Mytilus edulis: one gene and its partners. The protein of the gene in region 4 purifies or fractionates together with the protein of the main gene of each other region. This does not show direct contact. Links are inferred from orthologs where the notes say so. Each region holds a gene or a part of one and is shown on either strand. Other genes may lie near its edges. The genes, in order: exportin-1-like, THO complex subunit 4-like, importin subunit alpha-1-like and nuclear cap-binding protein subunit 1-like.

Region 1 (7,697 bases), on a different chromosome or scaffold from region 4:
GTAAACAGTGTTCAGTTTATATGGATTAATTTTTCCAGTGGAATAAAAGAACACTTGTTCCTATATCACTGTTGTACATATTTTATCTATCCTAGGTACCAGGGCAAAAACAACAAAAAGCACTTTCATTATTCTGTAAAACTTAGGCTTCAGAGCAAACAAACTTAGATTTCCAAGGGGCATCACTCAGTAAAAACATTTGATCCGAAATGTATTTACAAATACATTTCTGATTTAAACTTTGAAATTTCTGGCAAGAATTGAACAAACACATTAGAGTGATAACATTTATATTTTCTACAGAATAAACATTTTTAGGGGCATAAATTGCTAATTTGAACCCAAGATATAAGTTTCATAAAAAGTTGGCATGAATGGTACATGTGAGAGCGCTAACAAAACATGACATCCAGAGAGTAATTCCACTTTGGCCTTGCATGTATTATGTGATGTTTAAATATGGCCAAGTTCTTGTCTGCGTAGCCACTCCTGTAGTTCACATAAGCAGAAAATTTATGTTTTTATAAAAACTCAGCAGAAATTCAGCCTGTGGCAGTCATCATTCTTTTAATGAATCAGCCTGTGAGCGTGAAGCAGAAAACAATAGGAACAATTCATTCTAAGGATGATTAAGTTTATTAGGATTATATCTAATTTCTCTAATTTAATAAAGTAGTAAGTCGTTGATCATCTAAAAGTAAACCCTCATCGAAGATAGCAGGTAAAGGAGAGCTGGCCCAGCACGTCTGTTCAGCTGTAATGACTGAGACGTGACTGTTGATGATGAATGGATTATCCCAAGAGGGATTGAAAGAAAAAGCTATGAAAAACCCTGTACTTACGTGGGTCATTTTCAAAAAATGATGAATTTTGAAATTGAAAAATTTATTAATACATTGTACATTGAAGTTATTTTTAAAAACAACCCACTACATAAGCAAATCAAAACAAACAGTACTTTAAGAACAACATATTAAAAGATGCAATCTTAATGTCAAACAAGAATATCTTGAAACATTTGTGATCGGTGGTACAATATTTTGTCTATCCTGTTACAATTTTCAAAAGAAATTTTAGGTTATTAAGAAAAGGTTTAGATAAAATGTTAAGCTTGTTTTATGTAGCCAATTAGATGGTTTTCAAGAGAATAAACTTCTATATATATATATTCATTCTGTAACAGGGGGGGATGCAGGAATTTTCGAAAGGGGGGGGGGGGGGGGGGGTGCTAACCCAGGGCACCCAGGGCAAAGGGGGGGTGCAAAACATATGTCCCGATACAAATGCATTGATCGGCAAAACTAAAGGGGGGGTGTGCACCCCCGGAACCCCCCCCCCTGGATCAGCCACTGCTGTAAAATAATAGATTATTTGCCAATTTTCCAGGTTGTACTGAAAAATACCTCTAAAAATTGGTTTTCAAAGGTTGTAAAAATTACCACCAGTAATGCAAGTCTAAGATAGCAATTTATATTGTTCAGCATTTTTTCACTCTTTTAAATAAACCCAACATCAGGTAAATTCCTCATAAGTAAGTTTACTTTTCTCTTTATTTCATTGGTAACAGGAACGTACGTTTCTGATATATCACTATATAAAGGTCTATCCTGTTAACCATATAAATATTGCACCTGCAAATGCTTAATTGGGAAGATAAAGACGTCTTTATAAACTTAAGATGAGTTCAAACAACGAAATATTTCTTTTGTTTTGCACCTATATCATGTATATGTTAAGATAAAAAAATAACGACGTTTTGTCTATCCTGTTACTGTAACCATAGCAACCACAGTAACAGGATAGACAAATTTCTTCGTTTTTGATTGCTGTTGTGAAATGACTACTCCCTTTAGTGAAGTGATTATGGTTTTCTATTGTGAATTTGGTTACCAACACATTATTGCACTTTTTAAAAGCATACTTTTGGTGTAGTTAATCAAAATTGTTGGTAACAGCATAGACATGAAAAAAAGTTCTCTTTTTTTTTCACTAAATGTCTTGAAATATCTTTTCTCTACACTGTCGTTCACGAAACGAGGCTATTTAAATGTAAAGATTACTTTGCACTTTTGAAATCAACACCGACTGATTCAATATTCATAGGGAGAATAATTTATTGACTGATTTAAGTAGCGGTAACAGGATAGACATGAACCTCCTGTATGCTGATTGAATTTAGTTTGTGGATAATATGTTACATACAATGATAAAGAAGCTACTATTTTTTCGTTAGAGTGATAATTAACGTTCTTTAAAAGTTCCTTTTGCAATTATCAAGGCGATCAGAAAATCAGAAATAAATCATTTAAAATGTGGTTTTCCGACACTGTACGCACACAAATACCCCCAAAATCGGACTTAAATGCAGTTTAATCTTATCAAAATAGATGTAAGGTGTGTTTATTATTAATGATCTGAATCACAAACCCGTCAAGCTTTCATTAGAGCCATTTCAACCGAAATTTCCATTAGAAATAAAAAAAATTAGCATGGGTGTACTGAAAATTCGACATTTTTTGAAAATGACCCATGTCCATAGGCATAAATAGAAAACTTTTTGGATGAAGAAAAACTATGCTAATAAGAAAACAATTTGAATAATATCATTTCTTTATTTTCAGAAATTAACTTTTAATCACGAAAATTATCATTTAACTTAATTTTATGAGCATAATGATAGTGGAATTTTCCACCACACTGCCGCTGAACAGTTTGAATTTTACGTCCCGAATCACATGACTAAGCAGGCTTCCGTTTGTTTTTGTTTGTATCTTCAAATATGGCTGCCTCCATGAGAGAAATTTCAAACGTGTTTAACGAAACTATGACAATGTTCAGAACATGACAATGAAACAACGAAATACAAAAACTTCCCCTAAAAACCAATTTTACCTCTTCTAATTCTTCTTCTGGCCAAACCCAACTTCTTGTGAGAAAGCATCAAAAATTGACTAACCGGTTGAAACTGGCAAAGAACCGCCATTCAGATTGGTTCTCGGTAAAATCCGTAATTTAAGTTTAGACAAATATTTCGATAAAAATAACGAAATAATAGTAAACTGGCAATTATTCAATAGTATATAAGAAATAATTATGACTAAATAAATTTTTAGTTGCAAAGTAAAAACTTCATTAACTCATTAATTAACGTAAACACATATTTTGTTAGCAACTTTTTGATTGGTTTGTACTCTCGCAGGGATAAAATACATTTTACTTTTAATTAAGAAATAACACATTTTTGAAAGTCGATAGATATATATTTAAAACATTTAGACAGTTGATAACTATAAAAGAAATTTCTTGTTCCCACTTTTGGGCAAAATACGGTGATATTTTCAAATGGAAAATTTTTATCATTTATCCAATCAAATATAGTTTCCCAAACGCAATATTTGACCTACTTTTACTTTCGATTTCAAAAATCGGTCACTCAATCAAAATGCAAGTAATAGCTTTTGTAAAAAGCTAGACTGACGATTGCTGTCTCAGTTCTTTTATCTAAGCCAAGTTTCGATCATATTTGAGACAGATTTGTAAATTCTAGTAAGACTTATAATGGACAATCAAGTACTACAAATTTGTTGAAATATAAAAAAATAAATGAGATTATTACTGACTTTTAACTTGATAATATCATAGACTTCATCACGGTATTAAAGATATAATTGTTTTAAAACAGTGTCAAAAAGTAGAATGTACAGTATAACAGTAGCGTTTTTTTTTCTATCCGAGCAACTACTTTTGAATCAGAATTAACAGACGACTGTCATTCTGAAATGTACTCTTTTTCTAAATATTTGTCTTGCTTTTTTCCGACGTAGTCGGTATAGTTTCGGTGTGTGTCCTTTGAACTTAAGGACGCTTAACTGTGGCAACAGAATACGCATGCTCGAAAATCCTTTTTGTGATTGGACAAAATGCTGTCATGGTGGGTGATTTGGTTGTTTTTGAAAAAACGTCTCGTTAATTATATCGTGATGGAAAGCAAGTGAAAAACTGTAAATATTTGAACTAGATCTTACAAAGATTTATATTTTTATTAAAATAATTGTTTCTCAAATAGCTCTTTCCATCCGTGACAGCTGTTTATTCGGGACAATTATATAATTTTTAATGTAAACTTTGTTGTACGAACGTACCGGCATGACTTTTAGAACGCACCTACGCATGTGAGATTTCCGCGGGGTTTTGGTGAACATGGTGAATGTAAACAGAAAGATACGATGACTGAGAATACTAAACACAAACAGAGAAAACGTTATTTAAATGGTATCTTTGTGCTTCTGAGGGTTATCAAAATGATAGTTTTAAACATATACTCAAATTTAAATACGTCGGATATCTTTTTTTAAAGATAGTTCTTGTTAGTAAATATTCTTACCAATTTTCACTTCAATGATTTAATGTGTTCTTGCTTTCCGATATTAAGATAACACAAGTTTAATTTGATGCCCTTCTATTCTGATGGCAGGTCTGTGGGTCGCAGAAAATGTCCCAACACGTTTAGAGCAGCACTCTGATCTGAGGCGACACCCCTTTTCCCAACTGGGAAGCTCTGATGATGAAGCACTTATTTGTGTTGTGAAGTTTTCTGTTTCTCAACAGTTCCTGTGTTCTGTCTCATTTTCTTTAGAATTGTATATAATAGACGAACGGACAGACACATTGGCGGATCCAGGGGGAGGGTTCCGGGGGTTGGAACCCCCCTTTTTTTTGACGATCAATGCATTTGAATAGGCACATATAGTTGGAACCCGGGACCCTTTGTCCCTGGTTGGGAACCCCGCCCCTGAGACATACAAACGGACGAGTTGAATGCAATTTACCCAAGATCACTATAAGGTTTAATAATAACATTTTGTAATGATTATTGACTGTCGTTTCGAACCGTGACATAGCATTCCTTAACTCAGGACGTTAGAACACTTTTGTTTCTGTATAATATTGGCCAGATTTTTTCATGTCTGTTTCTGTGATTAAATTTTTTAAATCTATCCTTAATTACGAGGCTTAGCTCTGAAACTCGAATTGGGTAGAGATTATAAATTGCAGTATCACAGTTTTTTTTTTATAAATCTAGTAAAAGGGGAAAGCGTCCACAGTTTACCATGTGTCTAAATGAATAAATGTTTCAAGTTGTTGTTTCTCATCATGTCTTCTTTTGAAAATTCTCCGATATAAAGATAATTTGAAAGACATTTTACTATTACCTTGAACTTGCACCTTTTGTTGAATCTAATGCATTACTTCAGGTATAGTTCGGGTTACCTTTAGATTGCTGTCATTATACTTTGCACTTTTTGTTGAATTTGATGTATTTCTTAAGGTATAGTTCGGGTTACTTTTGGATTGATGTCATGAATGTCATTACACTTTGCACTTTTTGTTAAATCTGATGTATTTCTTAAGGTATAGTACGGGTTACTTTTGGATTGCTGTCATTTTACTTTGATCCCATCATATACCGGAAGTTAAACAGATCAGTCCCAGTGCATCACTTTTCTTTAATAGTCTTTCTTGAAAAGAGGAATACAATTTGTCATGATAAAATTATCTAACTGACAGTAAAATACGGGGTCAGGGTGAAATGACCCCGCTTTTAATCTCTCTCGCACTCAATTGTTTCTATCGTCAATTGTATCTACGCTGCTGCCGAACTTCAATGACTTTTGTTTTAAAAGTTGTTTATGAATTTTCATAGATGGAATTCTTCCTGCTGCAAGTTTTATGTTTATCAGACTCGTGATTGTTTTCATCTTTGATCAACATAATTCCACATGCGCTAAGTTGGTGCTTCAGTGGAATTGAAGAAATCATACTTTTAATTTAGATTTTCTTTAATATTTCGAAAAGAAGAAGCCGAGTGGAAACGTGGAAACACAAATAAACCATTTATAGTGACTGTAACATTCCGATATATGAGAACAATAACACACGTGAAAATAAATCATATTACTAGTATTAAAAAATAGTAATTAAAGCAAACGGTTGCAATATGACACTATATGTATAACAGAAAAGACATCATATAAAGTTGTATAAGTTCTTCATCCTTGCTCCAGGTGGTCGAGTGCTCTAGCGCGTCGGGCACAGTGCACGGCGATTTGGTGCCACGATAGAATGAGTTCGAATCCCGGCGAGGGAAGAAAAACAAATTTGCGAAAGCAAATTAAAAGATCTAACATTGCTGGGTTGGTGTTTCGACGAATTATATATGCAAAATGTATTTTCAGCCTTGTATCACCATCACAGCTGGTGATCCGATGGATAAATCTGTTGTAGAGTTGCCACTGGTTCAGACGTACTTGTAATATACTTATTTCTATGACTGCATCCTGCATTATTTTGTAAGATCCTTTACGATAATTCAGCTGATCTGTAAAGATTCCATCTTCATGCCTTATTTATCATGTACTGTGTTACGATGCTAGATAAAAACTGACGAGGAATGGTAACGCCCGGCCACCGAAAGCTTTATTATTCATGGTAGAGCATAGTTGGTCGAGTGGTCTAGAGCGTCGGGCACAGTGCAAGGCGATTTGTTGCCAAGATATCTCAGTAGTATAAGTTTGAATCCTGGCGAGGCAAGAACAAAAATTTAGCGAAAGCATATTACAGATTTATCATTGTTGGACTGATGTTTAGACGATTTATCTATACAGAATGTATTTTCAGCCTTGTATCACCATCACTGCTGGTGATCAGTTGTATAAAATCTTCCGCAGAGTTGTCACTAGTTTAGACGTACTTATAATATAATTATTTTTGTGACTGCATCCTGCATTAGTTTGTAAGATTCTTCAGGATAGATCATTCAGCTGATCTGCAAAAATTCCATCTTCATGCCTTATATATGATTATCATGTACTGTGTTATGACGCCAGATAAAAACAGACGAGGAAAGGAAACATCTGGCCACCGAAAACTTTATTATTTTAGAGCCTAGGTGGTCGAGTGCACTGTGGTCCAGTGCGTCAGGCATAGTGCAAGGCGATTTGGTGCCACGATATCTTCGTAGCATGAGTTGGAATTCCGGCGAGGAAAAACAAGTTGCGAAAGAAAATTTACAGCTCTTTACATTGTTGGCCTGATGTTTGAACGAATTATATTTTCTTTAATGGTCTTCCTTGAAAGTCTGTATAAATCCAGCTTGTAGTATAAATCAAACTGGAAATACAATCATTCCATATACCAAATACGCTTTAAATAGAGTTGACCTATTACACATCTTCGAAACAAACTTAACCAGGAAAACTTAATTGATTGAGCAATGAATCATGAAAATGAGATCAGGGTCACATGAACCCTGTCAGACTTACATGTACACCTTGCAATCAGTACATGCTTTTGATTGGTTGACCTATTGAATATAGTATAAAGAAACAAACTTATTCAGGAAAATTTAAGATTGACCAATGAGTTCATGGTTAGTGGATGATTGCCACACAGACATATAAACCTTACAATCATTCCATACACCCTGTCAGACTGACATGTACACCTTGCCATCAGTACATGCTTTTGATTGGTTGACCTATTGAATATAGTATAAAGAAACAAACTTATTCAGGAAAATTTAAGATTGACCAATGAGGTCATGGTCAGCGGATGATTGCCACACAGACATATAAACCTTACAATCATTCCATACACCAAATATATAGTTGACCTATTGCTTATTTAATTAGAAAAAC
Region 2 (7,639 bases), on a different chromosome or scaffold from region 4:
ATTTGATACCAGATAAAAAGATGTTATGTAACAACATGTATATATTCATTGACTATTACCATCTAAAGGAACATTATTATATTGTTTCATGGCTTTTGCAGCATCTGAATTTCTCTCATATATCACTTCTGCTGTGCCTAAAGATCTTCCAGATCTGTCATAGTGTATAGCTGCCTTCTTCAATGGACCAAATTCTGCAAACAGTTCCTGAAGAAAAAAATTAAAATGCAAGCATGCTTAAATGTACTCAAATTGAGCAGTTATGATCATATTTTCTAACTGGTTCTTTTGTTAAAACATCTATTATATGATTCAAGGTAATATGTCTATCATTTTGTTTTTCTTCATGTCTTAAGATTTTATGAACAAAACTATGCCACCTTTAATTTAGTAATATTTATAATGATTTTGTTTAAAATACATATTCGTGTAATCTTAAAACTTGTATTAATACATTGAAATATAAAATACAAATGTAATTCCTCACTGGTAAGATTTTATTCAAATATCTGCATGTTTTGAAAATTAAGAATACAAGATAACAAGACTATCTGCATTTTGTACATGTATGTATTAAATGTTTCTTTTCCTATATTTCAAACTCCTACATAAAAGCAAAAGAACTAGGAACAACATGAAAATCTTATTAAATTGAAGTACCTGTATATCAGAATCATTGACCCCAAAGTCTAAATTGGATATATGTAGTTTACTTGTGCTGCCACCACCCCCAACAGCAGCTCCTCCTCCTCTACCCCTCTTCATTGTACCAACATCTCCGTCAAACATATCATGCTTCCATACATCATCTGGTGTGTCTTTAGACTAAACAAATGGAAAAACAAATCCTATTAATTTTTATGCATCAATCACGTTTCATGGTGTTACATTCTAGATTACTTGTTTAACTTAACTGGCATCAGCATGTATAAACAGATACAAAAGGCTGTCAAAAAGTCAGCAAAAAAGTGGGTTTTTTTTATACAATTTCAGGCAAATATGCTGGTTATTAGACAAATATTCAACAGTCCTATCAACATGATAAACAAATAATATATAGAGTCCAGAACTTGATGTCAAAATCATAGTTATTGTGTCTGGCAACTTAGTCTTTAATTCATCAATTCACAATTTATCATGTAAATTATATATACAATATATACAATTGTAAATGTAGAAAACCATGAAATAATTTTAGAACATTGTGTATTTGTGCATACTTTTTCAGAACAAGCAGTCTTCACGTCAATATTTTAAATCTACAGGCCTGAAGCTGAGTCTTATAAAATTTTTAGCTATATTCTATTGGCGTGTAGAGATATTTTTGACAGGCAAGACAGCATTTTTACAAGCCTAGGCTGGTGAGCCTACATATATGGTTGAGCCTGAAGACTGATCATGAAATAAATAACAGATATATCATATGTAGTATGAAAAATCACAAGGTACATGTAGCTAACAAAAAGTGTTTAATTCAACCTATATTTTCTAACATTCCCTTGCATTTCCCATGATTAAACATGTACACACATCAATCTGCTGGTAATTTATTTATCTTTACAACAATATAACATGTTTCATGAACTTTGTACAAGTATAGATAGTAAATCCCCCATTCACAGAACACAATTGTCTGTGATCTAACAAAAAATAATACTACATATATTTATAGATTATTGTTGATTATCTCAACAAGATTGATTTTCTCGCTTGAGCCGAAAAGACGAAAGCAAAAAAAGCAATCGAGTTGAGATGACCAATGATGATCTGTTTATCGCTATTTTACCTATGACAACGTTTTCAATTTCATTAGCAACGCCACATGCCTCCTTTATTTCTAGCGATAATTTTCCATCTCAGGCGAGTAGCATGATATGAAAAATTATCACATAAAAAGATCAAACAAAAATGCACAAAATAGCGATAAGATGGTTTATAATACACCTTATTATGGCTATTTATCCGCCATTACTCAAAACTGGACATCACACAGGTTCCTGTAAAATTTTGAAACAATACAAATATCTGACGCCACAATGGAATTTAAGTGATTTTCATTTTTGTATGAAGCCATAGTTCAAATGGGACAGATTTTCATGTCAGCCAGGCTTAACGATAAGGTGTATTTATATTCCTCAAATTAATGAGCATGTTGATAATAATCATAAACAAGAATGTGTCCTCAGTACACGAATGCCCCACTCGCACTATCATTTTCTATGTTCAGTGGACCGTGAAAGTGGGGTAAAATCTCTAATTTGGCATTAAAATTAGAAAGATCATATCATAGGGAACATGTGTACCAAGTTTGAAGTCGATTGGACTTCAACTTCATCAAAAACTACCTCGACCAAAAACTTTAACCTGAAGCGGGACAGACGGACGAACGAACGGACGGACGCACAGACCAGAAAACATAATGCCCCTCTACTATCGTAGGTGGGGCATAAAAAATTAGTGAATTGGACAAAAACTACTCTTAAGTAATGATAACCTGTGCAGTTGCAAAAGTTTTAAGGCCTAGCATCCACAAATTATATTAAGAAATAGACAAAATAATGAAATGAAATTATGTACACAACAAAAACAAAGACTGGTCTGATGTCGACATCATTTTTGAAGTTTACCCGGGAAAAGCTTTGTCTTCCTCCACCACCACTGGTTCTTCTTTTCTGAATGCCGCCACGAAACACTCCTCCTCCACCGCCGCCTCGATTCTGTCGGCCCCCAAAGCCTCCTCCCCCGCGTCTACCTCTTGTTGCACCACCGGCACCACCGCCGCCGGAACCGCGTCCCCTCCTTTGACCGCCTCCTCTACCACGACCTCCTTTTTTGGTTGACTTGATTATATCATCTAAACTCATGTCCATTTTGTCTCCCATTGTCATAACCTTTGTAGAAATACGTTGTTCAATCAATATCTACCGGCTTTGTTGGTGTTCTCGTGTTCTCTGTTTAGTGAAAATGGCGGCATACGAGTGGTGCACGATGGGATAGGGAATTTTATAATAAGATTGTCTCCCCTTGCTTTTGAAAAAAAATAAGTGCGGGTTGGATCTTGCCTCGATCACAGGGGCACATGAATCTTATGTTAAAATGTACTATGCCTTACGCCCAACAAAAAACTCGAAGAATGCCTAGTCTTTTTCTTGTAAATATGGCGTATATGTACTGTAAAAGATAAAAAAAAAAAAAAAAGAATTAGATTATATAAATTTTATGAGCCAATGTTGGACCCCGAGGGGCATAAAGATTAGAATGTAGGACAGAAAGTCACAGGACAAAAAGTCACAGACAAAAAGTCACGGACAAAAAGTCACAGGACAAAAAGTTACAATTCATATTTTCTTTGAATAAAAAACCCTTATTTCTACAAAAATATTTTTGTATTTTTCTTGAACTATTGTATATAAACCAACTTTGTAAACAAAATTTTTCATTTAAGATGATCAAATAATTGTTAAAAAAAACATATTGTCAACGTTGCTTTGCACTTAAATGGCTTCATGGTGCCAAGAAATATATCTTTTGCATGATTAAAATTAAATAAATCTTCATTTTTCAAGTATAATGACACATTTCCTCAACTTTAGTATGCATATTTCAAAATATTCTCTTATATATCCAAGCAATTGTCAGCAAATTATTTGTGACTTTTTGTCCTGTGACTATTTGTCCTACCTAATTTGTGACTTTATGTCCTGTGACTTTTTGTCCTGTGACTTTCTGTCCGTTTACCAAAGAGAATACAGAGAAAGAAAATCCAATAAATAACAGATTACAAACCAAATAACAGACACAAATATACAATATATATAATCCTTATAATGATATACCTTTTTTAAGATGTTAAAGCCGGGGGAAATACACCAAAAAATATTGTAATGTACTATGTGTGTGCATATAGTATTGCAATCTATACAAATCAATGCATAAAATTAATTGTTTATGTTAATTATTAGGACAAAACAATAGTTTTGTTCTTTTATCAAAGCTCTTTATTGTATTGTATATATGGCGTATAACTGATATATAGACTAGAGTATAGAAATGCAAGTTAAGGTTGTTCCTCTGCCGGTCAGACTTTTTATATTTCGAAGTTTTTATCTCTGTGTTTTTTTCAGGATTCTAATCTACCATTACCGTATAAGTTTGTTTTTTTTTTTATCATATTGTTAATTTAATCTAATCTAAATGTAATTCAATTACTTTAAAATTACAAATTCACTTGTCATAAAAAAAAAAAGGAATTGAGTGTTATACAAACTAATTAGTGTTTTCAAAGACATATATACGCCTCTGGTGTTTTTTTAGTGACAGGTGTCAATTATCAGTCAATCAACTCATTTCTAAAACTTTAATCTCTAAATATCTTTGTTAGGTTTTTCAATGACTATACTTGTATACGAACATAACTGCAATAGCTGCAAAAAAATAAATCAAACTGACAATATTATTGTAATATATATGTATGCTTATTAAATGGTAGAAGTATCAATTAAAGTTAGATGTAAAAAATATTAGTTTTACAAAAGTTTGAATTTACACTTAATTAATATTATTTAACTAGACAATGTTTTTTCTTCTTCAAATTAAATATTTTTTGAAAAAAAGTATACAGTAGGTCCTTATTATTTTTGAAATTTGTAGCAATAGAAAAACTATCCGAAAGAGGTACTGCTAAAGTGCTATGTAATGCATAAATCATCAATTTCACAAGGAAGCTATTAAAGTTCCAAGTGTAAGAGAGAAACAATGGGAGTATCAACACTCAAAGTTACGGGAGGAACAATAGACAGCAGCAAACATGGCAAAGGAAAGATAGAAAAACTGCATGTACAATTTCAATCAGTATTTATAATGGAAGACTGAAATCATAACTGAAAATGAAACACCAGAAATACCAAATCTACACATCAGTACAGATCTCGAGGTCTTAACCAAACTACTTAAGGGAGTATACCAAAGCATGGCAACTGGTCCAGACAACATATCATACAGAATATTGAAAGAGTGTGCAGAGTCAATATCAAAATATTTACAGCTTATCTTCACCAAAACATTAAAAGATCATAGTGTACCACAGGACTGCCTATAGTTGCAAATGTCACTGCACTTTTCAATAAAGGGAATAAGAGTATCATTGACGTCAGTTCCATGTAAAGTAATGGAACATGTCATATTCAACCACATCATGATGAACCATCTTGACAAGCATAATATACTTGTGCAATTCCAACGTGGCTTCAGAAGCAAAAGATTGCTTGAGTCGCAACCAGTAATTACAGCAGAGGACATAACTGGCAACCTTGCATCAAATGGTATCAAGGCCAGGGGAAACATACCTGGTTATAGAAGCATGGTTGACACAAAGAGAACAACAAGTCACACTGGAAGGGGAAAGTTCAAGTACTACTAAAGTAACACCCGGCGTACCACAGGAAACAGTTTAAGGACCACTGATGATTTCTCCTATACATAAACGACATAGCAAAACGAAATAACATTAAAGATTCGCCTATTCGAAGACGATAAATTAACGTACCTAGCGATATCATCAAAGGACGACTGTAAAAAATTACAAGAAGATCTTGACAAAATGGTAAAGTGGACCAAATGATCTCTCAAAATGTTATGTCATTACAATTACCAAAAAGAGAAAAACATCCATTTCAACCTCAACATCAATTGACATGTTCTTGGCATGATCAGGCGCATCAAACCAATACCTTGGAGCTAAACTTACCAACACAATGTCATGCATGGGGAAAAGATGTCAATAACGGAAACAGAGTACTAGGCTTCATACGAAGAAAGGTTGGGTCATGTCCAGAGGAAGTCAAGAAACAAGCCTATCTTGCTCTTGTCCGACATCACCTTTAATACGCTTGCAGCTACTCAAGAGAGCCTGGAACAGTTACAACACTTTTAGAATTGAACCCGAAACCACTAGAAACCAGAAGAAGAATTATAGCACGTACAACGCTCTTTCATAAAGCCATCCGTGAAAAGGTTATTGTACCTATGCCATCCCATTTTAAAACCAAGAAGAACTTCGAGATATTAAAAGATACGTACAAATCAGATCAAATAGATCGATATTTACATGTACAGCTTTCTTCCCTGGGCCACCAGAGACTGGAATAAACTACAAGTCTAACTTTACTAGAGATTGAGAGCATGCAGTGGGGAATTATAGTCCAAACTCACCAAGCTTCTCTGTAATGGCTAACCAACACCAACAAAAGATAGATGATATTTATAACCAGCACCTGTACATAATTTTGAGCACAATTTGGAACTATTGTATATTAAATATCATATACAATTTTTTCGTCATGTAGGAAGACGTCAAACTTAACTTGATACTTGTGTGATGGGTCGAAGAGCCTTTTTCGAGTGACGACAGAGCTGCAAGATGTAGATGTATAGATGTAGATAAACAGATAACTGGTTGAAATAATTCTTACGTTTTACGGATGACATCATGAGTTGGTTAACCGTCATGGAATATATCCGTTTCACATATGATAGTGGATATATGTTAATTCTAAATGGTGTTACTACAATCCCGTCCCCTTTTCGCCGAGTGTGACAATATAATCCAACAATCATAGTTCTTGGGATTATATATATTCATTTGTTGTCACGGGTTGATACGAATGTGATGTTGAAAAAGCCACAGTTTCTCTTATAGTTGTGGTCAGCCTGTTAACTATTCATTGCAAACAGCGATATATTTCATTTCACACACCTATAATAAGGTGTGAATTGAGAATAATGGGTAAAAAGTGCAGAATAAAGGCCAAACAAATAAAAAGATTAAAGAGAAAATCGCCCAAAAAAAACAACAGAAAAGAGAATAATAGAGTGCTAAAATATAAAGAATAGTGAATATTGGAGTGCTAAAATTTAAAGAACACCGAGAGAATAAGGGACAAACCATATAATATAAAGAATAGAGAAAAGGGCCATAACGAATTTTAAAGAATACAGAATTGAATGAACCCCACCTTCCTTTAAGTGTGATACGAAAAATGCAATTTATTTAGTTGATTACTCTAGCACCTTATTTATATGTTACGAATGTGAATGCATTTTGTAACTTATGTTGTCATTGTGTTCCGTTGGGGACTTAAAACTAAAAATCAGAGGTTTCTAGTTGTGTAAATTACCACCATATGATGTGAATACAACCATTCACATCACCACTTATCATACATCATACTTATTATTATATTATATTGAACTGTATTGTATTGTCTGAATCATGTATAAAATTTTATCTTACCTCCTATTCATTTCAAGGAAGATGATTGATTAAAAGCGTCCGCGTGGAGACCGTGTATATTTCATATTAGGTTAATAGGGAGGCGGGGCTTTTTTCATACACAGTTAGTAGTAGTGTTACGTCCCTTTATATTCCATATTAGGTAAGAAGGGAGGCGGGGCTTATTTCATACACGGTCAGTAGTGGTGTTACGTCCCTTGTTGGAAATAAATTCATAAAACACATTTAAACCTAAGTTGTTATTGTTGGTGTCTGTTTTTGTAGGATTAATGGAAGTAGTTTCTTAATGGTAACAGTACTGAAGACTTGCTCATTTTGATAGGTCTAAATTTCACACGTTAAAATCGT
Region 3 (7,285 bases), on a different chromosome or scaffold from region 4:
GTGCATTAAACATGTTAAAATAACCTGTAGCTGATGACTTTATTGGTCTGAAATATGTGCCACCAAAACTTCCAGCTTGAAGAACTTCTTTGGGCGTCATATTTGGTCGTAGTTCTGGAACATCTTCAAACACTAGCTCCCCCTTTTTGTTACGAGTTGGTAACTTTGCAGTGAATTCAAAGCTCTGAAAAACATTCATTGTTGAAGATTTATTTACTATATTTACATTTAGGTGTGTGAGAGTAGACATCAGCAAAAAAAAATGGGGGTAAAGAAATTTATCAGCTAATAAAAAAAGTATTACAAACAACATGAACAAACTGAAATGTCAATTTGCCAATCTCTGCATTACAAGCCAAAACAAAGTTTATAATACGTTAAACATTTAAATTCATGGTTCGCCTGTACCCAGGAAAATTTGTATCTAGCGAGTTATAATAAATGCACAGTAGTTCTTTTTTTAAATTTTGATTTTATATATCTTTACCCAACGATGTAAGGCCTATAATGACTGTCATCACATTCTCACTCTACTTCAATGAGAGAATAAATATCAAAAAAGTTTCAGATGGGAAAAATATTGCACATAAAAATAGATAAGAAGAGACATGTACTGATAATTACCTTTTCTACATTTGTAGCTTCATCAATATTTTTGGGATAGTTCTTCTTTTTAGATGAAGATTCTTGTTTGTTTAATGGCTTTTCTTTACTGCTTTTGGGAGTTGTTTTCTTTGATTTACTCTTTGAAGCTGAATCAGGTTCAACTTCTTCTCCAAGTTTCCTTTTTGGCATCTTTGTTAAGCAGTTTATAAACTAAAATGGATTACAGAAATAAACAAATACTAGACATGCATTCTTCTCCATGTTTGAGGCGGACTTGTACTATATACATGTATGTTCTCTTATTTTCAATTGTGGAGTATTTATTCCTGAAATATTTTTTCCTTTTAGTCATGTTTAGTGCTTCTCTACTTTCTCACTATATTACTATAATCCAGTTAGATTATCAAGATTATTGAAATTTAAATGCAGACAAACTGAAAATAACTACTTTGTCTCATAAATAATAATGCTAATTGTTTGTTTTAAATTACCTGAGCAAAGGAGTAGGTCGATAAGGCCTTTAAATGGCCCCCTTTTTAAGTCTAAATATCAAATTGGGATTTATTTACCAATATTACAATGATTAATAGATAATACAGTGACTGTATTTTAGTTTCTTGTGTACAATTTGGAGTATGGTGTTCATTATCACTGAATTAGTATATATATGTATATATTTGTTTAGAGGCCAGCGGAAGGACACCTCTGGGTGCAGGAATTTCTCGCTGCATTGAAGACCTGTTGGTGACCTTCTGCTGTTGTCTGTTCTATGGTCGGGTTGTTGTCTCTTTGACACATTCCCCATTTCCATTCTCAATTTTACTAGATAGAAAATACTTCTTTTAGTCCAGTCAAGGGTCTAACTTAGATAAGTTATTAGAGAGAATAACATACATGTTGTTACATGTATTGTGGGCTAAATTATCAAAAACCTGTGATAACATATGTATGTTACATGTTTCAAAGGGAAAATACAATGTATACAACCTTAATATTTTGTTAATTTTTTCTTAAGTTCTATTGATATTATAATTTTCTTCATGTATACTAATCTTTGCAAAGATATAACAGCTCATAGTTTACCAATCATGCATAGTACACCTATGTTATTACTGAAAATATATTCCTGCAATAACCAAGGGGTGTTATTACAGCTTCTCTATATCTCTTTAAAGGCTTTGCTCTGACATGCATAACAATGTTTTTCAATTCATTGTAAGAAATGATGATCAGAGCTTGTAATGAGGCACTGTTTAAGATTCCAAGTGTCTCATTTACTCTCATATAGTAAGTTACATGCTTGTAATAACTAAGCTTAGTTTACAGATTAAGGAAAAACGAGTAGACAACTCATGAAAGTTTCTGTAATAACATACAATGACATACATGTACAAAATGTACACATGTAGGCATATTATTTTTCTCTGATAACTTATTTAATTAGACCCTTGACTGTAGTCACAGATTTACATTACTGCGTATTATTAATGACGTCAAAAATAGTCAAATGATAGTACTCATTTTGATTTTCCACACAAAAACAATGAAAATGGGTAAATTGCTGTTGAATATTTGGACAGGAAACATATCATGCATATAGCCCATACATTTGTAAAAAAAGATCTTTGACAATAATGTTTGTAATGACTATTACATGTCTAACTTGAATATTTATGTTGTCGACAGCTGCCCTCTATGTTTCCTGATGTTAAATTTGGCTGAATTCCTGCCGATTTTGGCAACTGTACTAAGAAATTTGGATTTCATTCTTAGCCAGTACTATTTAAATCAGAACCTTTCTCAGACATACAATGTATATATATCTTTAAAATATGTTAAAATACATGGGGAATGTGCTCATGGGGCACACATGATCCCTCTTGTATATCATATTAAGTTATAAAGGGACATAACTGATAGACTGTAAAAGTGACACTCCCCAAATGTGTGCTTGATCTGAGTTTTGTGGTAACAAGTATGATGTGTAAACTTCATAAAATTTGGTTAAGGCAAACTTAAGTTAGAGAATGGAAACGAAAAATTCAGCATTTTTTTATAATTTTGTAAAGGAACATAACTCTAGAACAATAAGAGTAAAAACCCTGAATATTCAAACTTGATCTGTATTTTGTGGTTATAAGCAATTGTGTTAAAGTTTCATCACATTTAGTTTAGGCTTATTAATGCTAGAGAATGGAATCGAAAAAATCAGCATTTTTTACATTTGTTAAGGGGCATAACTCTAGGAAGGTTTACATCACCAAAATGCAAACTTGATCTGTAATATGAGGTAACAAGTATCGTATCTATAAGTTTAATATGGGGACGATGTCACCTATTACATTAAATGTATTACACATGTTACAGTAAAAAAATCAAAAAATAAAAATCAGGAAAATTTCCCGAATTTTTCATTTTACTAATGAACTCAAAATCGTTAATTTTTTTTCAGTTTTTTAAATCCCCGCATCTGCACAGAAATCTACTCCCTTTTCCCGTCTTGTTTGCCTGAGACTTTGAATAAAATATATATTAATCAGTCTAGTAAAATATATATAGAAAGGAATTCAATACTACATTGTAATTCACTTTTAAAAATTGTTTGTTATGAAAAAAGGTTACCCTAGCGTTTCATTGTTTACATTGAATATGACGTCATAACTTAAACAACTTCACAACTAAAATCCCTAATAACAAAACCAAAATCGGAAACGTCACTGTACTTCCATTTCTTTTTTTTTTAACATGTTTGAATTAAAAAAATAATTCATACAGACTTCATCCCCTTTACAGGTAATGCCTGCCTCATGTTAGCATTTAATTAAGGCAAATTATAAAAGTTGTAGAACAGAAATAAATTATTTTTAATTTTCACTTCAAAATTTTATTCTGAGTACAGACAAACCTGTGCATCTGTAAAAGTTTTAAGGCATAGCATGCCCTAGATAAATAAATTTCAAATATGTATTATGGTTTAGAAAAATAAAAACTTAACTGGATTTTGCAGTGCACTTTTTTTCATTCCTCGAGAAGGTGCCAAAATAAACTAAGTTGGGAAAGAGGTTTGAGAACTTCCCAACAGGTAATAATTGAAGTGAGCTGTATTGATTGACATGGACAGTAGATACCTAACAATAATTGGTCATTTAAACTGTGTACCTGAGTGGACCATATCAAGGAAAACTCAACTGTTTGTTAATTTTATCATCTTCTGCAGGGACGAAACAAAGTGCACTGCAAATTCCATTTAAATTATGGATTTTCTAAATCATACAATGCATTTGAATTATATTTATCTAGGGCATGCTATGCCTTAAAACTGTTCCAGGTCACAGGTCTGTCTGTACTCGGAGTAAATTTGGGGTGAAAATGCAGCCAAGAACCTTAAGTGACGCCACTAAAATTGAATCTTTATCCGTGTTTGTGGTAGTAAACCATGTGTATTATTTTCATAACATTTGGTTAAGGCAAACCAATTTTTAGATGTAAGTGCAAAAGGGCATACAGCGGACAAGGATTTAAAGCCTGGCAGCACCTAGATACATAGAAGTTGTATTCATTTTCTATTTTAAAATGAAATAAACTTTTGTGGATTTTGCTAACATGGCTAAAAAATTTCATTTCTTTCCACAGGTACATGTAGTGTAAAAATAAACAAAGTCATGTGAAATCTTTGAGATAGTAACCTCAGGTAATGATTGTATTGTATCATATTAATTGAAATGGACAATAGAAATCTACTCACAACAAAGGTGATTTAAATAGTGTAAATGAGTGGACTGTATCAAAGAAAACTCAAGTGTTTGTTTACTTCACCATCTTCGGTGGCAAGAAAATGTTCATCAAAATCTATAAAGTGTTTGAACTTTTTGTCCTGCGACTTTCTGTCCTACATTATGTAGGACAGAAAGTCAATTTCTATATAACTACACCCCCCCCCCCCTTTCCCCCCACTACGGCAACATAAAAAAAAAGAAAACATGGCCATTCCTACATGCATTATTTGTGTTCGTACAAGTGTGTATAGTACCACTCCCCCTCCCCTTGACAGAACAAATGCCTGTCTTTTCATTGAACAAAACAAATTATAGGTATATTGATCCAATATCCACCCGTTTATAGTATGGATCACATTTCCGACCTTACATTGATTACGTGCTACGTGTACAATGTTTCGAGTTCTTTCGGAATTATATTCCAGGTAACTCTCTTCAGAGGTCGTCCGTTTTATTTTTATTTTCTAAATGTTTGTTTATTTATTATTTTGTACATTTTATTTATTATTGTACCTTTTATTTATTTTTGTTCGTTTTATCAGCGTATGGATAACTGGTTTTGGTTATTAGATTTAGTTTAAGATACGTTTCAATATGCATTTTTCATTGTCAACGCACCTTCCTTTGGTTTTAGTGTAACTGTCTAATTAATTTCTATTGGGAGACATTGATTTATTTCAAGTGTTTCTTAACGATTTCCCCAATGTTCCTGTTTCTTTTGAATGCTATTGTAGGTTTTTTATCAAAGAGATTTTTGAACTGTGGGTTGTCTTGAATTAAATGCCAATGTTTTCTTATAATGGTTTGTAAATTTTCCGCATTAGCGTGGTATTGTGTTATGAAAGATATATTATAGTTATCTGTGTTTTTGTTTATGCTTGTTTCTTGGTTTGTTAATTTGTTTAATCTTTCTGTATGGGAAATATTTCTTAATATTTTATTTACAAAAGCGATTTTGTAACCTCTTTGTATTAATTTTTCTGTAAATAAGTTTATTCTTTCATTAAAATTGTCAGGATCAGAGGTATTTCTAAGAATTCGTATTCCTTCACCTTTAATAAAGGATTTAAAACAACTTTTAGCGTGGTTAGAATTTTGGTGTATATATTGGAATTTTTCAGTTGGTTTTGTGAAACATTTAATATCTAAGATATTTTCTTTTTGAAATCTCTGTCCTTTATACGTTTCTAAGTCTAGAAATTTCAAACTTTGTCTGTCAATTTCATAAGTAAATTGCAGTAGGTTGTGGTTTGTGTTTGCTATTTCGAAAAGAAGTTTAACTTCTTCCGTAGTACCTTGAAATAAAATATATCCATCATCTTTCATACGTTTATGAAATAATATTTTGTTTTTGTGTGGAAAGATGTTTAGAATTTTATTTATATGTTGGTATATAGCTATATCTGAGATTTGAGGACTTGCTATATGGCCTTGGCTAGCTCCTATAATTTGCCTATAACATTTTTTGTTAAAGGTAAATTCGTTATTAAGGAGAATTAAGTTTGTTATTTGTAGTAAATAGTCAAAACTGGGTTTTATTATGTTATATTCTAGGTTTTCATATATCCCTGTAACACTGTTTAGAGCGGCAATAATTTCGCTAAATCTTAGATTTGTGTAAAGGGATGTGATATCATAAGTCACCAGTAAAGTATCAGTTTCTATCTTTGATTTTTCGAGTAGACGAAAGGTCGGAAATGTGATCCATACTATAAATGGGTGGATATTGGATCAATATACCTATAATTTATGCAAACTTAATTCTCCTTAATAACGAATTTACCTTTAACAAAAAATGTTATAGGCAAATTATAGGAGCTAGCCAAGGCCATGTAGCAAGTCCTCAAATCTCAGATATAGCTATATACCAACATATAAATAAAATTCTAAACATCTTTCCACACAAAAACAAAATATTATTTCATAAACGTATGAAAGATGATGGATATATTTTATTTCAAGGTACTACGGAAGAAGTTAAACTTCTTTTCGAAATAGCAAACACAAACCACAACCTACTGCAATTTACTTATGAAATTGACAGACAAAGTTTGAAATTTCTAGACTTAGAAACGTATAAAGGACAGAGATTTCAAAAAGAAAATATCTTAGATATTAAATGTTTCACAAAACCAACTGAAAAATTCCAATATATACACCAAAATTCTAACCACGCTAAAAGTTGTTTTAAATCCTTTATTAAAGGTGAAGGAACACGAATTCTTAGAAATACCTCTGATCCTGACAATTTTAATGAAAGAATAAACTTATTTACAGAAAAATTAATACAAAGAGGTTACAAAATCGCTTTTGTAAATAAAATATTAAGAAATATTTCCCATACAGAAAGATTAAACAAATTAACAAACCAAGAAACAAGCATAAACAAAAACACAGATAACTATAATATATCTTTCATAACACAATACCACGCTAATGCGGAAAATTTACAAACCATTATAAGAAAACATTGGCATTTAATTCAAGACAACCCACAGTTCAAAAATCTCTTTGATAAAAAACCTACAATAGCATTCAAAAGAAACAGGAACATTGGGGAAATCGTTAAGAAACACTTGAAATAAATCAATGTCTCCCAATAGAAATTAATTAGACAGTTACACTAAAACCAAAGGAAGGTGCGTTGACAATGAAAAATGCATATTGAAACATATCTTAAACTAAATCTAATAACCAAAACCAGTTATCCATACGCTGATAAAACGAACAATAATAAATAAAAGGTACAATAATAAATAAAATGTACAAAATAATAAACAAACAAACATTTAGAAAATAAAAAGGACGACCTCTGAAGAGAGTTACCTGGAATATAATTCCGAAAGAACTCGAAACATTGTACACGTAGCACGTAATCAATGTAAGGTCGGAAATGTGATCCA
Region 4 (7,322 bases):
GGGCGGGGCAAGCACTTTTTAGCTCACCTGGCCTAAAAGGCCTCATCACTTGGCGTCTGTTGTCGTTAACTTTTACAAAAATCTTCTCCTCTGAAACTACAGGGCCAAATTTAACCAAACTTGGCCACAATCTTCATTGGGGTATCTAGTTTAAAAAATGTGTCCGGTGACCCGGTCAACCAACCGTGATGGCTGCCGTGGCTAAAAATAGAACATAGGGGTAAAATGTAGATTTTGACTTATAACCCTAAAACTGAAGCATTTAGAGCAAATTTGACAGGAGGTTGAATTGTGAATCAAGTCAAGATCTATCTGCCCTGAGACGAATCAGACAACCGGTTGTTGGGTGATGCCCCTGGATTGTCAATTTTTGAGGAAATTTGCCATGTTTGGTTATCAAAGATATAGATAAACTGTAAAAAGCAATAATGTTCAGCAAAGCCAGATCTACAAATTAGTCATGTGACCAAAATGGTCAGTTGACCCTTAAGGAGTTATTGCCCTTTATAGTCATTTTTTACCAATTTTTAGTAAATTTTTGTTATCTTTTACAAAAATCTTCTCCTCTGATACTACTGTGCCAAATTTAACCATACTTGGCAACAATAAGCATTGTGGTATCTAGTTTAATAAATGTGTGCGGTGACCCAGACAACCAACCAAGATGGCCGCCATGGCTAAAAATAGAACATAGGGGTAAAATGTAGATTTTGGCTTATAACTATGAAACCAAAGCATTTAGAGCAAATCTGACATGTTGTTTTGTTGTTTATCAAGTCAACATCTATCTGCCCTGAAATTTTCAGATGAATTAGACAACCGATTGTTGCGTTGCTGCCCTTCAATTGGTAATTTTTAAGGAAATTTAGCCGTTTTTGGTTAGTATTTTGAATTTTATTATAGATAGAGATAAACTGTAAACAGCAATAATGTTCAGCAAAGTAAGATCTCCAAAGAAGTCAACATGGCCAAAATGGTCAGTTGACCCCTTAAGGAGTTATTAGCAATAACTTTATTTTATTAAACGGTGAATGGATCTCTATGATTTTAAAAGAAGGTTCAATACCACAAAGGAAGGTTGGGATTACTGTATAAGTATTACGATTTCTCTGAAATTGTACCACAATGTTTAATACAACAAGTAGAAGGTTGGGATTCACATAAGGGGTTAGGGGGCTAACAGTTAAGGAAATAATGGCCTAAAAGGGGCCAAAATAACATTTTTTTTCCGGACAATAACTTCTGTGAAAGTGTATTGATCTCTCTGTAATTGTACCACAAGGTTCCATTCACAAAGGGTAGGCTGGGATTGAGTTGGGTGGTAATTGCTCTAATCATGTAGGAATTAGAAGCCAAAAACAAGCATTTTTTTCTTCTAGTTTCCAAACAATTGCTTGTGTTTAAGTGTATGGGATCTCTCTGAAATTGTACTATAAGGTTCCATACCACAAAGGAAAGAATTGGATTGAGTCCTAGAGTATTGCTCCAAGGGTATTCCAAAAGTTGGAGGGGGGATTTTTTTTCATTTTTTTTAAGGAATTCATATTTTTTTTAAACAATTTCAAATTTTGGAAAAGTTTCAATAAGAAATCTTCGATTGCACAATAGATTTGTAAGATCTTTGGCCACATTTATTTTGTTTCAGAAACCTATATTATGTCAAAAAAATTGATCACAATCAAAATTCAGACAGTATCGAGCTTGAATATTTTATCCAATTTGCCACAACTGTTCAGAGTTCGACCTCTGCTGTCGTATCAGGCTGCGCTCACCGAAGCATTTTTTTAAAAAGAAAGTTCAATTCCACAAAGGGTAGGTTGGAGATGACGGTCCAACTTTTTAGGAATTGAGGGTCCAAAACAAGCATTTCTCTTGTTTCAGGCTAATAACTTGTGTAAAGTATTTTGATTGCTCTGAAATTGTACCACAATGTTTAGGGACTTTTTTTTTTATCTGGGAGGGGGGCTGGTCAAAATACAGGGGGGATCAAGTTTTTTTCTGTATGTGGAAAAGGGGGGTTCAATTTTTTTATAAATTCAAAGTGGGGGGTCATTTTTTTAAACATAGAAATCAGCATTTCACATACTTCAAGAGATAAAATTTAAAGATGAACATTACAACAATCAAATCAAAACATATTTTTAACATCATTCATAAAGACTTTAGTGATGTAGGAAGCTGCATAGGTGCTTCATAATCCGAATAATCAAGTCGTTATACATGTATTTCACTCACTTTGATCACTAAATTAACAAGCGTTACTGCCAAGTTTATTTTTAATCAGCTTAATAGTTGGAAAGAAATTTAGTATAAACGAAACGAAATCTACAGCGATTTATGCAATTTTTTTCCCAAAATACAAACCATACAGCATCATGAGTGGAGAAATAAATTCTCCAATAAATTATTAAATATTCATCTACTTTGCATTTGAATATTGATAAGCAAGATGTTTCTGAAATGATGAACACCAGTAAAAAGTAAAATCACAAAAATACTTTGTGTATCTTTTTGTTTTCATTATAAGATCTCTTGGGGTCAATTTTACCTCTAACTTCCTGAAAATGTGTACTTTTAGGCTAATAAATCAAAATTTTAATGGTACTTTCACACATTTATAAATGAAATGTGACAATAAATGAGTAAATAAATTGTTCAAGCTGAAAGCATGAACTATCCATATTTATATAAAAGTTTAGCGACTCAATTGAGATTTCAATAAGACTTTGCGTAAAACTTTAGTTTAAGAAGCGTTCAAGAGAGGGACATATAATGGATTCCTCTCAGTAAAAATGCGTTGTTACTGTTTCAAAAAGTTATTTTTTACAGTTACGTAGGGTCAATAGATTAGCACAAAATACAATGATATAGGAAATTAGAAAAAAGTCAGAAAAACTACTCAGAGCACTGGCTTCTACCTACTTCAGGTACTTATATTTATGGAATTAAGAGGCGTCATGGAAAAACAATATTCCAAGATAATTTTCTCTTAATTATGATTTTGAACTAAATCCACTGAGAACATTTCATTTTCAATATTTTCGTGAAGTGTTTGAAAGGAGAAAATTTTGTTTGATAGTGGGGGGATCGATTTTTTTTAATGATTTTACTGAGGGGATCAAATAAAAATAGTGAAACATTATGGGGGGATCAAAAAAATTCGTATGTTTAATTTCAAATGACAAGACCCCCTCCCAGGTAAAAAATGATAAATAATACCACAAGAAGAAGGTTTGGATTTATTTTGGGGTTATTAGGAATTTTAAAGGGCCAAATACAAGCATATTTTTTTTTGGGGGGGGGGGGGGCTGAGGGGGGTAGGAGGGGTCCTGATCCCGAAATCCCGGCTTAAAACCATGAAAACCCGAGGTCCCGAATTTAAAAAAAAATCCCGGATCCCGAAAGGGTCGATCCCGAAAATCCCAAGATCAAAAACACCCGAAAAATGCCCCCTTGTTATTTAGTTTCCAGACTAATTTTTTTGTCAGTGTTTGGATCTCTCTGACATTGTACCACAAGGTTTCATATCTTAAAAGGAAGATTTTAATTGATTTCGGGGTTGTTTACCCAAACACGCAGGAAAAAGGGTGAAAAACAAGCAAATTTCTAGTCCAGAGAGTAACTTAATTGTGCTTTAGTGTATGGATCTCTCTAAGATTGTAATACAAGGTTCCGTATTACAAAGGAAAAGCTGAAATGAATTTTGGGAGTAATTGCTCCATGGGGGGATTCAAAACGTTGTTTTTATTGAGGGGTTCCGATATTTCAAGTTTTTCAAATTATTTTTTTTCGGAAAGTTTCAAGAAGATATCTTCAATTGCACAATATTGCACAACAAATTTGTAAGATCCTTGACCACGTTTATCTTGTGTCAGACACCTATATATAGATACCGGTATTATGTCAAAAAGGTATCACAAATTGTCAATTTAAGTTTAGACAGTATCAAGCTTGAATAGTGTGTCCAAATTTGCCCCATTGTTCATTGTTCGACCTCTGTGGTCGTATCAGGCTGCGCTCGTCGAAGCATTTGATCTTATATTGTATGCAATAGGTCTACTATATTTTGTTTATGAAATGTTTGTAGGATGTAGATTTATTAATGAATGGGCCACTTTTATTTATACATGTTTTATTCAGTTTGATTTTTTTATAGTCACGCGCATATATTATTATCTTCCTTAAATCAAACTTTTTATTCGCTAAGATATACCGAAATATTCATTTCGGGTTTGAAATTATTGTAAGTTTGAGGTGTATCAAATTGGTCCGATTTATGATGGTTTTATGGTTCACGTAAACTTTTAGTACGTTAGTATCCTCTATTTTTCGGTTCTAAGCTGCAAGGCGGAAGTAAGCGCAAGATCAACTTCCGGGGAAACAAAAAGTAGCGTGAAAATCTTGCGTTTCAAAAATCGACGTTTAAAATGTCAAGTCGTAGACGACACGACTCTTATAGTGACGAAGAAGATGGTGAGTAATATATCTTTCCATTAGTAGTTGTCTTTACGTGCACGAAATAAAACTTACAACAAATACGACCAAATAATGTGTCAGTGAGAGCAGAGCGGTTTTTATTTATATTAAATTATCCAGCCCTGCTTCGCATAAAGAACGGGTTATGGTGCAAATTGAAATTTATTTATCAATTAGAATAAGAATTAGGAAAATTGTTATCTGCACTTTCGGGATTTAATATTGTGAAATCAGATTTATACAGTGCACCTTTTGGTTGAAATGAATGTTTTTAAATACAAACCACTCTGCTCTCAAATTATTTGTTCGTACTTGTTACACCCCCTCCCCCTTTTGCAGCAGAGAGGGCATTAAGTTTTACCCTTGTTCGTCTGTACGTCAGTCCGTCTGTATGTCTGTCCCTCCCAAAGTTGGTTTCTGTTCTCTACCTTTAATTTGCTTCAACCAAATGTTATGAAACTTATACAAAATGCTTATTAACACAAAACAAAGATTAAGTTTGGTGGTGTCACATTTACCTTTGTTGAGTTATGCCCATTTACAAATGAAAAAAATACTGATTTTTTTTGTTTCCGTTCTCTAACTGTAGTTTGCCTCAACCAAATGTTATTAAACATAAACATATATAATGATAAGAATTCCAAAATACAGATCAAGTTTTGCGGTGTCACTTCATCCGTTCTAGATTCATGCTCCTTTACAAATGGAAAAATAGGAATTTGATTTTAACCAACTACAATTACGGACACAGGAAATAACTCCAATTTGCAAAATTTATTTTACCAATTACATCAACTATAACCAATGGCAATGCTTAATATACAATGCAATGTTCATTAAAAAAAATAAAAACAATCTTTACCTTCGGTGCTTACAAGCACTTTGAATAATGTTGTTCAGTTTTGTCCCTTTATAACCTTACATGATATTTTGTTTCCATTCTCTTTCTTAAGTTTGTCTAAACTCAATTGAATGAAATGTTTATATATTTATAATGCTTATTACCACTTATCTCAGTTTAGGTTCAAATTTTGGAAGCATTACTTTTACAGTTTTTGAGTTATGTCCCTTTATAATGTTATATGCTAGCTGGGGCATCATTCTCCATTTATTTTAAATGTTTTTTTGTTAAAATGTAGTGGCTCAAAAATAAGACTACTACACTACAGTGTTCAAGCGAGGATTTCAAAAGGGCAGGGATCCAATCATGAAAAGGGTACTTAAGCATGCTGATTGATAATTCAAAAAGGGCATGCCAAACATTGTATTTTTCCCCCAAATTGAAAGGCTATGAAGAAATACAGAAAATTGCTAATGAAAAGCAATGGCAATCATTATTTGTGGGACAAGATTAATTTGATTGATAATTTACTTTCTGGAAATTAGCTTTCTGAAGTCTGTATCTCAACTTTTATCATCTTTGGTTAAAGCTACTGTACTTTTCAATCTGCAGGTGTACATAGTACTTGCCCATGTTGACAAGTTATGATAAGAGTTCAGAAATTTGTTTTTGTGTAAAAAATAAAGTTATGTGATTTTATGTTTAGGTCCTTCCTCAGTAAGAAAGAGAAGACGAGTATCAGAAAATGTTGACATTGAAGACAGACTTGAATCACTTATAACTAGAGTTGGAGAAAAGGTAAACAAGAATAAAACAAAAAATAAATCAAAAAGCACAATTTAAATCTATTTAAATATTTAAATCATGGTAGATTAATAGAAAGTAATAACTGAGAAATAATTCTTTTCATGCATGTCCTTGATTCATTTTATTTGTAAATATTTACATTGAGTGTTATTCTAATTTGGTTTATTTTCATGAAACTATAGCAGAGGAATAGAATCATGGCGATGTTTATACTAAGTTATAAAATGGATAAGTTAACCATGTAACTACCATAAACATAGAACAGCATAATCATGATAATAGGCCACATCAACATTTGACTCATTCAAAATTCAGTTATACAACTAATAGACAAAAAAACCAATAACACATGGTCCAGGTAGTCAGACTTGGTTCAAATGTAAAATGTGGTGGTGTAATTTGCTTGCAAACTTTACCCAAATGTCTTACGGAAACACACAAAAAAAAACTTCCATGCTCTAGCTAAAATGTTTACTAAACTTAAAACTTTATCATGTTTATAATATTATCTTTTGAATAATATTCAATACTTTTGTCTTGCAGAGTACATCCTCTTTAGAAAGTAACCTTGAAGGCTTAGCTAGTGTCCTGGAGGCAGACTTGCAGAATTACAAGACAAAAATCCTTAAAATTTTAGTAGAATGGTAAGTGATGAAGTTAAGTTTGATCATGTTTGATGCAACTCTGTATAATTGTGTATTTATAAAATTAGATAGATTCCTTGTAAAAAATACTTAAAAATGTAAGTTATTGAAAAGGATCTTGACAAACACAAGCAGAATTCTTTATTAGTAATAAACGATGTGTTTTCACTTACAGGATTCTGTTTGGATAGGAATACAGTGGCGGATCCGGGGGTGCGCACCCCCCCTTTATTTTTGCCGATCAATGCATTTGTATCGGGACATATGTTTTGCACCCCCCCCTTTGCCCTGGGTTACCTGGGTTAGCACCCCCCCTTTCGAAAATTCCTGCATCCGCCCCTGGAATATACCAGTGGGACATTATTATAGAACTAAATTAATGAATGTAAAATATTCATATCTTATAAACATGATAAAGCACCTGATTTCTTAAAGCTCTTCTATAAAAGCTTGCAAAAGCTAACCTTTGATCAACTTGGTTGTTTCATTATGTTTGCTTGGATGTTAGCAAACAATAGGTAGGCGTAGTTTCAATCTGCTTAATATATACATTT

What was found.
Region 1: the proteins of nuclear cap-binding protein subunit 1-like (region 4) and exportin-1-like purify together in Homo sapiens (affinity purification with western blotting; 3 studies listed by BioGRID and IntAct, with this or other methods). This does not show direct contact. The link is inferred for Mytilus edulis from reciprocal best matches to the Homo sapiens genes NCBP1 and XPO1.
Region 2: the proteins of nuclear cap-binding protein subunit 1-like (region 4) and THO complex subunit 4-like purify together in Homo sapiens (affinity purification with western blotting; 6 studies listed by BioGRID and IntAct, with this or other methods). This does not show direct contact. The link is inferred for Mytilus edulis from reciprocal best matches to the Homo sapiens genes NCBP1 and ALYREF.
Region 3: the proteins of nuclear cap-binding protein subunit 1-like (region 4) and importin subunit alpha-1-like purify together in Homo sapiens (co-immunoprecipitation; 5 studies listed by BioGRID and IntAct, with this or other methods). This does not show direct contact. The link is inferred for Mytilus edulis from reciprocal best matches to the Homo sapiens genes NCBP1 and KPNA2.

The regions. Positions count from the first base shown.
Region 1 is NC_092346.1:57,078,440-57,086,136, forward strand, and holds the start of exportin-1-like, read right to left. Parts: upstream 3,001-7,697; 5' UTR 2,893-3,000; intron 1-2,892. UniProt on the Homo sapiens protein: Mediates the nuclear export of cellular proteins (cargos) bearing a leucine-rich nuclear export signal (NES) and of RNAs.
Region 2 is NC_092352.1:25,278,575-25,286,213, forward strand, and holds the start of THO complex subunit 4-like, read right to left. Parts: upstream 3,002-7,639; 5' UTR 2,889-3,001; coding exon 2,628-2,888; intron 826-2,627; coding exon 661-825; intron 208-660; coding exon 60-207; intron 1-59. UniProt on the Homo sapiens protein: Functions as an mRNA export adapter; component of the transcription/export (TREX) complex which is thought to couple mRNA transcription, processing and nuclear export, and specifically associates with spliced mRNA and not with unspliced pre-mRNA.
Region 3 is NC_092353.1:13,692,795-13,700,079, reverse strand, and holds the start of importin subunit alpha-1-like, read left to right. Parts: upstream 1-4,272; 5' UTR 4,273-4,284; intron 4,285-7,285. Other genes in the region: uncharacterized protein, read right to left, coding at 25-184, 625-816.
Region 4 is NC_092347.1:28,672,097-28,679,418, reverse strand, and holds the start of nuclear cap-binding protein subunit 1-like, read left to right. Parts: upstream 1-4,320; 5' UTR 4,321-4,427; coding exon 4,428-4,473; intron 4,474-6,023; coding exon 6,024-6,115; intron 6,116-6,667; coding exon 6,668-6,768; intron 6,769-7,322. UniProt on the Homo sapiens protein: Component of the cap-binding complex (CBC), which binds cotranscriptionally to the 5'-cap of pre-mRNAs and is involved in various processes such as pre-mRNA splicing, translation regulation, nonsense-mediated mRNA decay, RNA-mediated gene silencing (RNAi) by microRNAs (miRNAs) and mRNA export.